Linked DNA regions of Lepisosteus oculatus. Each later gene encodes a partner of the first gene's protein in a complex. Links are inferred from orthologs where the notes say so. Each region holds a gene or a part of one and is shown in the gene's direction. Other genes may lie near its edges. The genes, in order: pak4 and itgb5.

The links.
Region 2: the proteins of pak4 (region 1) and itgb5 are in contact, whole or in part, in a crystal structure (PDB 7S46), measured with the Homo sapiens proteins. The link is inferred for Lepisosteus oculatus from reciprocal best matches to the Homo sapiens genes PAK4 and ITGB5. Residues at the interface, in NP_001014831.1 of Homo sapiens: Gly330, Ser331, Gln358, Arg359, Leu362, Thr404, Lys442, Ser443, Asp444, Asp458, Phe461, Leu475, Val476, Gly477, Thr478, Pro479, Tyr480, Trp481, Met482, Glu507, Glu512, Phe516, Asn517, Glu518, Pro519, Pro520, Met524; in NP_002204.2 of Homo sapiens: Ser762, Arg763, Ala764, Arg765, Tyr766, Glu767, Met768, Ala769, Ser770.

What each region holds. Positions count from the first base shown.
Region 1 is NC_090698.1:5,422,688-5,429,989, forward strand, and holds the start of pak4 (serine/threonine-protein kinase PAK 4), read left to right. Parts: upstream 1-3,970; 5' UTR 3,971-4,588; intron 4,589-7,302. UniProt on the Homo sapiens protein: Serine/threonine-protein kinase that plays a role in a variety of different signaling pathways including cytoskeleton regulation, cell adhesion turnover, cell migration, growth, proliferation or cell survival.
Region 2 is NC_090707.1:5,076,357-5,083,602, reverse strand, and holds the start of itgb5 (integrin beta-5), read left to right. Parts: upstream 1-3,860; 5' UTR 3,861-4,396; coding exon 4,397-4,472; intron 4,473-4,934; coding exon 4,935-5,020; intron 5,021-6,492; coding exon 6,493-6,700; intron 6,701-7,168; coding exon 7,169-7,246. Other genes in the region: uncharacterized protein, read left to right, coding at 347-667.

The sequences.
Region 1 (7,302 bases):
TCTCAGGCGGCTGCGGAGAGGTTGCTTCGCTGGGGTTGCCATGGCGACGCGTGCCGCCAGGCAGGGCGGGCTTGCAGGGGAGCCCCGGCGGACGAGGGCTTTAGCGCCGTGCCCGCCCTGGCGCGGCTGAGCCCCAGCAGCCGACACCAGGAGCCCACAGCGGTCCCAGCAGGGCCACCAGTTGTGCTCAGTTAACCCATGCAGGATCTGATTGTTTAAGGAGTTTTTTTTTTTTGGAATTGCAGATGAGCCTTTTCTTTTATTGCGTGCCCTGGGTCGCACAGTGGCGTGGCAGGCAGTTAGCACTGCAGCCTCACCGCTGTTGGACTCTGGGGCTGGTCCTGGGTTGCTGTGGCGTCTGTGTGGAGTGTGCATGTTCCACTAGTGCTCACATGGTCTTCTTCTGGGTGTTTGGGTGTCTTCTCACCTCCAGGCATATGGATATGGATTTTTCTAAATTTGCCCTGTGCTTCCAGGATAGTCTTTGGCTTCCTATGACCCATCAAGGCAAGCAGCTCTCTGTGTGACTAGGTCGATTATACATCCTGGCAGTTTGGCACTGTCAGTTGCATTGAGACTCTGCCTTCTTTCTACGATTTCATTCGTGTGCCCTTTTTTTTCTCTGACACGCATTCACCATTTGGCACGCTGTGAGCTCCACAGTGCCAGCAGGAGAGCTAGTCCAGGCCTGAGAAGAGGTGCCTCTCTCAGGGAGACGCCCTGCAGTTCACAGAGTCGACTGGACCGTGGCTGAGCCACACCCACCCTAACCTGCCACCCTTCGGGGAAACCCTGAGCTGGCTTCCGCAGTGACCCGGCTCACACATGAAACGTCAGGGCCTTGGTCCTCAGTTTGCACTCTGTCACAGCCTTTACTGATGGAGCCTCTTAGGAGCCCACGTCATCTTTGTCTACCGCTTTTTTTGACAATGGCTAGGGAAGTAGCAGTGCATGCATGATCATAATCTCCGATCGATGCTGACATTTACCCACTGAGTGCAGTTCCTGTTGTGCAAGCAGTGTGCATCTCTAGGGGTGCTTGTCTTTTTCCTCCCTGCTTCTCTACGGTCGTACCTCTGCTCTTACTGTCATGTCTTTCACAGAAGATGACGTCTCTGCTTTCTGCCCCACAGAGTGCTGCACTGGCATCGACTGCACCTGGAATACAGTGGGATAAACTGGTCCCTTTTCAAATTGTGTTGAATTCACCATTTAAAACACTTCTCGTTTGGTGGACATCATAAATGACAATAGCTGTTTCAAACCAATGTTTTCCCAAATGTATTCTACAGTTGGTGTATCTCTGCTAAGCTCTGAAGACCTTAAAGAGATGCAAAGAAAGCAAGCCGGGTTTTGGGCTTTAGCACCACGGTTGGATAACTTGCTCCATACCTCCACAACTGTTTGCGTAAAGAAGTGCCGCCTGTTTTCTGTTTTAAATTCACTTACATATAGGTTTCCCTTGTGTCCTCAGGTTCCCTCTACAGAAATCCTCTGGGTTAACCTTACTGGTGACTTTGAGGATTTTAAACACTTAAATCAGGTTCCCTCACAGTCTTCTCTTTTCAAGACTAAAGAAATTCAGTTCTTGTTGTTCCTAAGTCTTCAGGGAAGGGAGTCTGATGGTTTTCAGTCTCTTGATAGGTGGCTGTTGAGTGTTGGGCTCTTCCACATTAAGGGCATGATGATGGTGGTTCAGTATCAGGTGGGATGTTACTGTTTGTCAGCAATCTTCATCATGGAGAGTTGCAGTGCTCCTCTGAAGACAGGAGATCAAACGGAGACAAGAAACATTGACTTTGTTTAGCCTAAACACAAAAATGCATTCAGTACACAGACTGCTGTACTTGCATGCATACAGATCTGGCATGCATATGTTGGGTACTATAAATAAGATAGAATTTTATTTCGTTTTTAAGTTATCCAGCAAGGATATTTTCCAAGAAACAAAGAAAATACTTTTTTAAAAACAGGTATATGAGCATGTTTTAATATGTTTGTAGTGTTGGGGGTTAAATAAACTGAAAAAAACATTTTATTTATTGAGCTGAGCTGTAATTTCACAGATGACAGCCTCAGACTGCCATAGTTAGGCAGTCACGCTGGCTGCCCTGGGGGTTGTGTTCTGAATGCATCTGTATTGATTTCCTCATGTACAGCAGGCAGTAGCCTTTCTCTTGCCTTTGCCCAGTTATTTTCCCTTTTGTATATCCCATTACCCCTTCAGCTATTTGAAACAGCTGAAAATTAACAGTATAGCCGAGGACCCCGCCTTCAATATTCTTGTTTCACCAGCATCTCTCGATCCAAATGAGTGTTGTTGGTTTTTTTTACATTCCAAGCAAATTTGACACAACCCAGAGGAGACACAATGCAATGACATAGACGTGCATTTTAAACTGAGAACAGGAGGCCCTTCTTTATACAAAGGGTTGTGGGAGTATGAAACAAGATACCTAGCTATACTGTTGAGGCTGATACCCCCTGGCTTCTTTCAAGCAATGACTGGATGAGATCCTTGGATCAATTAGCTACTAACTCCCAAACAGGCCAGATGGGCCACTTAGCGTCCTCTTACTTCCTTATGTGAAAACTGAATTTGAAAGTGTGTTCTAATCTGTTTATGGACAACGTCCTGTCATTGAGTATGTCCTTCCCCAGCCTAATCTGGGTGGGTGACACTAAGCGTTCGGTATTTGATTGCGTTTTCACCTGGATTTGTTGTCATTTTCGAGACAGAGGAGCTTCTGCTACCATTAATAACGATTTTTGACATCCGTCTCCTTCAGTATCGTACTACTGCTGTTCCCATCTCCTGTTACCTGATATATTGAAAACCTGCAGTTGTGTTGCTTGTCATTTTCAGCAGATGCAGTCAGAGCAAATGTCTTTTTCACTTTCACTGCATTATTGAACTTTGTCTTGCCATTTTCTAGCTGAGAACTCCTACAGAAGTGACAAACTCTCTGCAGAATACATATCCTTAGCAACACACATCCTCACATAAAATAGGTTGAAGTTGGAAGCATATTAGTTTCCAAGCTATTCACATTCCAGACGATGCTAGATCCTGTTGCATATTAAATACATTCATCGAATATTCATTCAAAGATCATTTGCATTTATTTTATCCCCCTGGCAAGAGAACACATCACACCACCCACTCAATGAAAAACTAGCTTTTCTACCAAATGAAAAACCCTTTTTAACCCTTTGAGGGGTTAGGGGTTAGGGTTGTGTGTTCTACCTGTGTTTGCATGGGTTTCTGCTGGGTTCTCTGGTTCAGTGCACAGTCCAAAGATGTTATGGTAAGATCTTAACCCCAATTTAATTAAGTAGGTTAACTGGCTTCTGGTAAAATTGGCCCTGGTGCAAGTGTGGGTTGTCTGTGTGTGTGTCTGCCCTCTGATGGACTGGCATCCTGCCCAGGGTGTGCCCTGCCTTGTGCCCATTGATCGCAGGGATTGTCTCTGGCTCCCCTGGCACCCTGTATTGGATAAAGCAGTTAGATGTAGGATGTGTGGATATCATCTTCAAGAAAACATGTTTTAGGCTCAGAACACAAAAGCCCATTCATGTAATTCACTGAATTGTGCGATGACCTTAGCAGTCAGGAGCACTTAGATATTTAAAATGAGCCCCACCCCTGTGAATGTCTGGAGCTGTCGATTTGGCCTCGATTTGATTCTCAGATCAATGTTTTCAGCACGATTGTGCAGCAGGTTTCAGACATGAAGTAATTTTAGAGCCATCTTCTTTTAAATGAATCCTGAACAGACCCCTACACACACACACAGCCAGACTCTGAGGTATGGTCTGGTTTTCCTCCAACGTGACCTTTTCTCTTCTACCGATGTCACATGATGACTATTATGTCCATGTTAGGCTCATTCGTTGCTTACTGGTGGCGTGCTTTCTAACGAAGACTTGTTAGTTTTATCACCCACGGCTCTCAAGATTTAGTTTCTCCTTAGGCAGGTACCCTTTACAACAGCAAAGCTGATTGATTTAATTCAGACACACACAATCTTGCGGTAAATATTTTTTTTCCTGGAATCCTGCAGTTGTTTTTTTTGCCCGCAGCATAAACTGCACACATTAGACTCCAACATAATACGATAAAGATCCGATCGACTTGGCAGGCAATTAACATATTGTCAATTAACTATCTCATCATCTTAGGGCGAATCCCTTTCGGCGACATAATTACATTTTACATCTTCGGAAAACAGCTTCTGGTGGAGAGTATGTTATATTTAGACTATAACAAGGAGCGAAACCGAATGCGGCAGAGGCGATTTTAAGGGTCCGTTACTGAGACAAAACTGAAGTCCGGAGACTCTGGCTCCTGTACTGTCCAGCAGTCAGTCCGCGGTTGCTAGGGGCTCAGTTCCTACGCTGGTTGCTATGGAGCTGGAGTGACTCCAATGTCCCGGATATTGCGATCCCTGTCCCAACATGGCGACGAGAAAGTGAGGTCGCGGCTGGGGATCTACGGAATAGGATATAATCAATAACAGCAGAGAGAGAAACTCGCTGGGGTTTTTCGGAGTTGCTTTAGAACGGGAGACACCAAGGAAACACCCAGGTAGGAAACGATATAAACTTCATACATTGTTTGGCTTTATATTTTATTATTTTTTGTATCTTTTGTGAAAGGGTCAGTGGAGTTCAGTCGTGGCTATCTACAGTTTCTACTTTGTCATTTGTGAAAACTTGCGGTGTGGCTCAAGAGCTAGGTCGTGTCCAAGTATCGGAGGTTGTTTTGTTTTTAAATTTTAGTGGATTATTCGCCCTTCTTTCGGCGAAAACCGAAACCGTTGACCTATTTAGGAATGTATCTGAAAATCTGTGCAAGTCCGGTCGTGGTTTGTTTTTTTCCCAATCGTTTTCAAAACAAACAAAAATCAAACCGGAGCACACCGCAAGACCTGGCTGTCGTGGTCACTCGTCCAGGTCAGGCTGCGTTTGGATCGATGTGTTGGGCAGTTCTCTGAAGTGGACCTACAGCATGGCACACTCCGCGAGTCCAAACACGATTATTATCAGCGTGACTTATCATTATGAGCTGCAGTATACGGGGAAGAAATGCAGTTTGCTCCACTTTCCGGCAGCGGATTCATGTTGGATCAATTCAACATACCGTCCTGTGTTTCGAGTCCTTTTGCAGCCATTATTGGACCATATCAAGACATCTGCTGTACTTGGGAAATGTTCATGTGATACTCCTGGGCGAGTGCTGATCTCCACGTACACCACAGCGCGCATTTAGTGCCCGTCTTACGGCAGAAACGACTACTGTGTGTGTATATATATATGTGTGTGTAAATCGTATGTAATAAATACTGTCGTGCGGCGCAGTAGCCGCTGCTGATACAGAGTAATCGTGCCGCGGGGCGCCGACACCCCGTCCACTCCGGCTGGGTGGTCGTGTGCGGCGTCCCTTGTGAAAGTTGGGAGAACATGAGGGTGTGAGGCGGAGAGGGGAAACCGAGGCACAGCAAATCATGTGACTGCAAATGTGCGATATATTGGTAACGTGCAGGACTTGACACCTCCCTGTGAAGAAACCTGCCGCCCCCAGAAATGCCTTTCCTTATTTCTTAGAAATGAAATCGCAGGCTCTTGGCGCATTGGTGATGGACCACCTGTTGACTCTTACATTCGGGTTTATCTTTTTAATTTCTGTGCTTCCAATTACACTGCTGCTTTTTTTTTAATAAGTGATTGGGATCGTAATTCTACCGCCGGTATTTTAATAAAGTGTCGCTGTTGTTGTTTGTAATTTAACGGTATCGATCGGTGCGGTCTGCATCGTGCTGGTTCCCAATAACGATTTACAATTCACTGATAAGACTCTTTGGGAGAAAGCTGCCAGCGGAAACAGATATGGGTGTGTGAGGTTGTTTTGAGATCAGGGTTGTTTAAGGTTTGTCTGTCAAGCCGCTCCGTGAAGCTAAGTGCTGACCTTCAAAGGTTTCATTTGATCACTTCGTGTAAAAGCGAGAAAACCGCATCACTGATGAACAAGGGAGCAGCGCAGAAATTGACAGAGGGTTCAGCAATCCCAATGAGCACATTTGCCATTATTTATCCTCTTCCTCGCCTGACATGTCCCTTCCCTGAAACACCTGTCCTTCACGTCTAAATTGCTTCTACCCCAAAATTTCTTCTAAATAATCATCTGTTGTCCCAGACACAGGTAAATATTATTACCTTCTTTGTCCTTTTTCTGAAGGGCACTTTCCTGATCAGATACTCAACAGGACAGCGTGGTGGCGCCGTGGTTTGCATTGCTGGTGTCCCAGCTTTACTTCCGGACCAGGGGTGCTGCCTGTGTGGAGATGGCGTGTTCTCCTCATGCTGGCGTGTTCTCCTCATGCTGGGCGCTCCGGTTTCCTCCCACAATCCCAAAACATTCTGGAAGGCTAATTGGCTTCTAGCGAGGAAAAAAAAAACCCTGCGTTTGGCCTGAGATCGACTGGTGTCCCATCCAGGGGGTACCCCGCCTTTGCACCCGTTGTTTGGCCGGATAGGCACGGCTCTCCCGCGGCCGTGAATCGGAAGAAGCAGTTGGAAAATGGACGGATGGCGATATTTAACATTTGTTTTCTAAATAAAAAAAATAAAGGCTAAAGGGATATTTCGCTCTGGAACAAGACACTCTGTTATTCTCTAGTTATTCGTGTGACTGTTCCCCACATAAAAGGCAGTTAACACATGGATAGCAATGTCAGTAGTGCAACACGCTGCACTCTCAGGTTAGTGGAGGAGGTTAGTGCACTAATAAATAGTGGTCAAATAAAAGTGACCAGTACGCGAGTCACATGTGCTTTAATAATCTTCAGTAGCAATTCCTTCAGCTTCCTTTTTCTCTCAAAGTGGAAGGTCTGGCTCTGAATTGGTTTTGCATCTGGGTTTCGGATGGCACATGCCTGCTGGTTGAGAGTGGCTGAGTTAGACATGACTGCCATTCCCCTTTGGATCCATTCCTTCCTTTCCTGGAACACGGCCGGCCTCATGTCGAGAGGTCAAAGGTTATAACATTAAGATACCTAGGGCAGCTCCAGGAGGGGAGAGAGGGCATCAGGCCTTGAATGCCTGTGGTGTACTGTTCAAAACAGTACAGTGTAATATAGGATTATATACTGTAGCAGCCTTAGTTCTTCACATGGTCAACTTCAAGGCACTTTGCACAAAGCAGTAAAGGAAAAGAAGCTCAAGGAGCTGCCATTCCCCTTTGGATCCATTCCTTCCCTTCCTGGAACACGACCGGCCTCATGTCGAGAGGTCAAAGGTTAT
Region 2 (7,246 bases), on another chromosome or scaffold:
ATAATAGTACCTACTGATGAAAAACATCATCAAACATTTAATATATTTTAAGCCATAAATTGGATGATCTATGTTTTTATTCTGAATACACATTATTCATTAATTCTTTGTGATCCTGGTTCTAAAATTTTAAGAGTGAGCCCTAGCAGGATGAATAATGAATCTGTAAAACAAAAATATTTTCTTAAGGATTCATTTTCCAACATTTTGGAAAATCAGTTTTGGACATGTTGGATGCCATTTTTAATTGGGAAAGTCTAGATTATTCTTTTCTTTCCTTGAAGCAGATGCACACCACTTCCAGGCTGATGTTTCTTTTGATTAACAAAAATATCTTCCTTTTCAGCCTGCTGGCAACCCCTACAACAGCAGTGCCAACGACCGTGACCCCTACAACAGCAGCGCCAACGACTGTAACCCCTACAACAGCAGTGCCAACGACTGTAAGCCCTACAACAGCAGCGCCAACGTCTGTAACCCCTACAACAGCAGTGCCAACGACTGTAAGCCCTACAACGGCAGGTCCAACGACCGTGACCCCTACAACAGCAGCGCCAATGACTGTGACCCCTACAACAGGACATCAACGAGGGGAGCTGCAGGGAATGGTTATGGCCATAGAGGATACAGAGCAGCTGTTCTGCATAGAGGGAAACCTCAGCTGTGATCAAAGATTAGATTTCTTCAACAGAATCACAAAAGAGAATTCTTCATTGAAACATGTTATGGAATATGAGTGATTCTGCTAGAATAATTCATTATATGAAACTACTGCCATAGACCTTGAGATGAAAAATTAGTCCTGAAGTATAAGCTTTTTCAAAGATGATTGGGTAAAGTGTTACAATCTGTTCTCTTTCTTGTTTCCATGTGAGTGTTCTGTAATTCAAGATAACAAGAAAAACAAAAAACGTTTTCTGTATGTGCAAAATGTAGTGATTGGGCAGCAACTTTGTACTAAGAGTATTATTTTATTATGGTAGCACAGCACAACTGAGAGCAAAGTGAAAAGAAATGCTCCACTGATTTATTTTATTGATCTAGCTCTAGTTTATTGCAATAATCGATACCGTCCGTAAAAAAATAGCTTCTCACAATGAGATGTTTGTTTGAGGTTAATACTAAACTACTTTCATAAAATGATATAAATAAAAATAATATCTATCTCACAGCATCTATATTTTAATGATTTCAATAATTATAAATATATTCCACATTTGTTATTTACAGTAGGTCAGAAGTGAAAGTGTTAATAAAATTAGGGGATTTTGTCATCTGTTATAACACTCCCTGTGAAGAGATGGCCATTCACCTGTTATCATTTGTCATTTCTTCTATGTGAGAAATTCCATTTGTTTGGCTCTTTCCATCCCAGATGTTCTCCAGCACTTTATATACGGTATAAGAAGGAGACCAGTTTTGTGCACCAGAGCTGCACCCATCTGAGTGGCACATGGCAGCCCTACTGCACAGCAGGACACATGGAGATGTGAGAAATTACTCCACTTGAATGGAGGGATTTACTAGGATGGCCAGAACATTCCAGCTCGAGGCAGAATTTAGCCAGAACACTGGAATTAATGCGTATGGGGTCATGGGATTGATAATGACAAAGTAGTCAGCACCTCAGTCTACTGTCTCACCTACAGGATGTCAGCTTCTACAGCACAGTGTCCCCAGTTGCCTTTCTGGCGCCACCTACTGGTCCACCACCATGACTGGTGACTCGCGTATTATTGTAATCTTAAACTTTCTTCAGAGGAGGGCTATTTCAAATCACCCCTTTCACTTCATTCAATCTTTAGGACGGCATCGCTACTTTGATCCAGCAAAACATGAGTCTGGACGATCCACATGCCAAGTATCTTAATAACCGGTGTTCCCTAGAGGTTTGGCCAATTTTAAACATCATCCCTGATGTGCAGCAGGCAGGAGGACCCCTGGCCTACTGCGTGACAGTTCCTAGCTAACAGAGGAAGCAGACTTGTAAAGCACAGCCTGTCTTTCTGACACTTCATGTAGTGGTCCAGAGCTCCAGAAACAGGTGAACCACAACCATCTGTGAACACCCACGCTCGCTGACTGGTGATCATTGGCTGGTGGGGAAGCCTGTTTTTAACCAGTTGTCCCTGCTAAAGGACCAACAATGCCAACTGAAAGCACATCAATAATATATGGCTATTAAAGAAAAGTGATGCTGCTTGAAAAGATATCGTAACACAACGGGGTTCAGGCGGGTGCCCTTGGCGTATCAGGTTGGCCCTGCACCGTCAGGGGCTCGAACCCAGGACTCCTGCGTCACTCAACAGGGACCCAGCCCGGTGAGCCAAAGAGAGAGATCTCTCTACAGCCCAGGGGCTGTGGTCCTGCTATTACTGGTAAGCCGGCTCTTACACAGTACCTGTCGGCCATATGCGTTACAATATGATAAACAACAAACCAGGGTGACAGGTCAGTCAGTCTACTGTATGAAGTCATGAAGGAAAGCTGGTTGTTGGTTTTGCACACTGCTAACATTTCACCCTCCTTTCTGGGGATCACCTGAACACGTTGAGAAGCTTACAGGTGTCCCTGAATACTCCCGGTGGAAACCACAGCTCTGCAAGATGAAATGGTGACTGTTTCTGCCTGTACTGTCTGTACACTGTAGTCAGTCTTGAAGTTCGAGCGGGTAGGGAATGAGTTGGAAAATCAGGCCAACACCCTAGGCCCAAACAGGATCAAAACCAGGACTGACCCCGCCAGCAACGTGCTGAGCGCAATTTAATCAGCCCCCATCACAGGCAGGGTGAGGCACACTGCACAGCCCGCCAGGAAAATTCAAGTTTTTAATTTCATACTCTTCTATCCCACTAGGCGGCGCTGACATCCAAGTATTCAGGAGAGATGAGTCTTGCCAACTCAGCAGACAACTCTGGACTTTCCGCTGGTAAAATGGACATCTTAAAATATCATCTTGAATTCATTTTTTTGTTTTTAAATATTTCTACTATTTCAGCATTTTTCTCTTTGTTTAATTTTCTAAAATACAATACAGGGCTTTTCATACCCTCGGGCTTCAAAAGCAAATTTGATGCCAAAACAAGAAGGTTCGCTTGATATTAATATTCACGTAACGAGCGTATTGCCTGTACATTGTTTTTAAGGTTTTACTGAATTCTGAAGAAAACGTAACATAAAATTTAAATTATTTAAATTGAATTCTATATACTGCTTTTCTAAAAGGCTCTGTACAGCTCTGGTCTGAAGGATTTCAAACGCATTTTATAGCCGAAAAATATTGTCAGACTTGTTTATGATTAACATCCTTGCTGTCCCTAATCCAGCTCATTCACAAACTCGCAAGCGCTGTGATTACAATGTACATAACTCAACACGCAGGCAAGTGTGTACGGAATTGAACAGGTGGTAACCCAATTAACACGAGTCACCTGACTGCCGGAGGTGCCGCTTTTTAAAGAAACATTTCTATTTATCGACAAAATCCGGATTTAAGTAGAACGAAACGAGCTACAATGTCCGAAATAAGCTTAAACCTAAAAAAAAAACCGATATACATCAGAACAAAGAAGTCCAAACAAACGAGAAACAACGACCCTGGTATTTGTCTAAATAAGTAATGATATCCGTACTTAGGTGCAGCTATTTCGAGTGAAAATAAATTACAGTTTGCGAGTCCGCCTTTAAGCAGAAAGAGTGTATGATTTTTTTAAACGTAAAAAAACCCCGTCACCGAAACCAGTTGTAGCGCAAGGGGAACGCTAGAAATGCGAATGCGTGCTTCTGAGGTTTCTGAAGTGTGCTCTCGAAGATAGGGTTAACCGCAGCCCCAGCCCCCAGCCTCTGATGGGCGGAGATTTTGGATACACCGACAGTGCGCTTTTTCGTAGAAAACTTCCAGGAGAGGAAAAAAGAGAGAAGCGGGGGATGTATCCCACTTTTAGAAAACAACAATAATAATATCACAACTAGGGGAATTATACTGCCTGTTTATTTTTAGTACAGAAGAAACGAAACATGGAGAAAAAATATCGGAACTGGAGGCGCGTTGTGCGCTTTTAAGGAGAACCAACACTAGTGTTTGGAGCGGAGAGATATTCGTAATGAGAGTGGAAAACCTTGTTTAGCCGGCAGCTCCTGCCCCAGAGGTTGTTTCTTTGATGACACAACGATTTGTAACCTTTGTTTTCAAAACAAAGGTTGGCGTTATGATTTCTCGTCGCTTGGCCGGGGCAGAGGCGAACTCCGACAAAGTGGACTTATTCCCCCTTTTTGAAAGCTAATCTGCAGAATGTGGATTTGATGAGGACATTTTGACGAGTTGGAGGTCTGCGCTAGCCAGCACTTCGCAGCTGCAGGGTTTGGATAACTTCAGTTTACACAATCCTAAGAAATCATGTTGAGGAGAAGGCTCTTAATTTACTCTGTAATTAGCTGTTTGGTTTTGGAAGTTCTGATCGGCGGAGTTAAAGGTAAGAGTTTTTTTAATGCAATTTTTGGTGACTGTGTGTCGTGTTTGTGTAGGCAATTTGTTTTCCTGTGTGCTGGAACGAATTCAATTTTCTTCGAGAGGAAATAACATCCTTTAATTACTTTGTTGCATGTATTGTTAGGGGTTACTCTTAGCTTACTCTTTTGTCATACTTAAACGCTTTATACAGACTTTCACTAAAATTATTTTATCGCTGGTCGAAACCTTGTTTTTCTTTTTGCACCTGCGCTTTTCTGTTTTTTTTTTTTATATCGTTATTTATTAGCTGGTATTAACATCACCCCCTCGTTTAACTAAGGCTCTAAGGCCGTTCTTGGTGATGTGCGCTAATGGGTGTCGAAACGGGACGGGGTACAAGGAGACTCGACTGTGGTCGCGAGAAAGTGCTGTGTATTTTTATACAGTATGTGTTAGATAACCGCTTTTCTCATTTCTATGGAAGGTCTCAATATTTGCGCCGGAGGAAGCGCTACCTCCTGTGAAGAATGCCTGCTCATCCATCCTAGCTGTGCCTGGTGCGCTCAGGAGGTATCTGTGTAAATCTCTCTTACGCGTAGTGCAAAAAAAAAATGTTGCCAAGTTATTTCACTTTATTGTTGATCCAAGAGGGTGACAATTTGTCTTTGGTGTCACCATTAGAACTACAAAAAAAACATAACACTCGACTTCAAACAAATGTACCTTTAAAACAAACAGTAGTCCTCGCCATTCAACCATACACACAGTATACACATTTTGCTCTGCCCATAATACACGGTGATTAAATTAATCCGATAGCTTCACTCAGGGAGTAATCACTCAGCTGCGTTTTAAAATACCGGTTGCACAGGAAACAAAATATTTATTTTAGGCATTTTTTTCTAGGAGAAAATATTTCTTGTACATATTTCTCATACGTCAGTCTGCAAACGCGTATAATTACTGGCAAAGTTCTGTCAATTTGGATATTTTGTTTTGAATCGGTCCTGTTCACGTTCATTTAGACCGATGCCCTGACGTGAAAGTATATTTTTGAATAATGCTACTCGAGTTAAATATATTTCTGTACTGTGTTCTTGTGGATATTTCAGACCCGTGTTCCAGTTTTACGTAGTGGTTTTGATATTATCTTGACCCAACTTATTCACCCTAGGAAACTCTTCTACGGAAGCCGCAGGCGGCGGTGAAACACGTGGTATTGGTGTTTCCCGCTTGTTGCTTGTTGCTCGTTGCTTGTTGCTTGTTGCTTGTTGCTGTTGTTCGGGGTACCTTTCATGTTAACTTGTGAAGTGCGCCTGTGAGCCTGGACTATGCAGAGCCTGTGCAGCAGTAGTCGTTCTCTGCTGACAGATATCTCAGTATTAAGTTAGTGAAATTCCTTAAATAAATTATTTCACATATTTGAAGTAGTAGGCATCACTCGAAGAGCGATGGCTTGTGTGCAGTTAGTTTATCAGTTTTCTCGTGCCCACCAGTCTTCTTCCGCAAGAAGAAGCTAATAGCTAACTGTCCCAAACGTTTTTGTTTCTGCTTTATAAAGCACCTGAAATCTCAATTAAGCAGTTCAGGAAATGGTGGAAGCAACTATTTATGCCGAAAAATACTTTTGTTTTATTTAATACAGTGTACAAATAAACTGGAAAATACCAGTAATTTCAGGAATGGGTTTGTGAACTATTTCTGTTGCAGAATGGTAAACGCATTTCTCCATGTTGTGACTGCTACGCGCTTACTTTCAATTAAAACATTCAAAGGGTCCCAGTGCTATCATGACAAAAAAAATAAACACAAAGTGTCGCTGGCTTTTTGTCTGCAGAGACAATATCCTTGTACGTGGAGATTCAAGAGAACGGGGGTGATTCACAGTTGAGCTGTGCCTCAGTGCTGCACTTTCCTCAAGGGCCCCCCATGAGCTTTCCAGTCTCTCTCCGTCGGCCTGGTCACTGTCCCTGTTGCGTCTCTTATCACAGCACCCGGTCGGCGCAGGGCTGCTACCCTCCTGGTGTCGTCTTTCTCGACAGGAATTCGGGAGGGCGATGACGGTCGCGTCCCGCTGCGACTTCAGCCAGAACCTGCTGGGGAGGGGCTGCGGGAGGGGCTTCATCGAGAGTCCCAGGAGCAGCATGATGGTCCTGCAGAACAAGCCCTTAAGTTCCAAAGGCTCCGGACCCACCCAGTATGATGTCATTCAGATAATGCCGCAGAAGATAGCCCTGAACCTGCGGCCTGGTAAGACGCCGGGCCCGGGCCTGCCTGTGTCTTTTTCAGCTTTCAAAGGCTGCTATTAGTGACTCAGTCACTCATGATAAACTGAAACGAAGAATAAAGACGCGGTGTGCTGAGACACCCTTGGCAAAAATCTCAGCGAAGAGGGTGGTTAATCCAGGATCTCATCCAGCTGTTTCTTGAAGAAAGCCAGGGTCTCGGCTGTAGGGTCAGGTTTGTTCCAGTCCTAATGGACCTCACAAAGCATTTTCAGTAACGGAAGTGTGAGCTTAGGAGAGCAATAATACTTTATGAACTGTGGAATATTTTGTATGTGGGCCATTAGTGACTGATTATTACAGAAGGCATGGCTGTGGGGGTAGAGGTCAGTAAAAAATGAACAGGCCTCCGTGGAAGAAAGCATGGGGGATTCCTTGTGTTGGATTAGGAAGCCTGAGTGTGAGGGCAGGTCTTCACCTTCTCTTCTGGCAGGTGACCAGGTGTCCCTGGAGGTGCAGGTGCGTCAGGTGGAGGACTACCCAGTGGACTTGTACTACTTGATGGACCTCT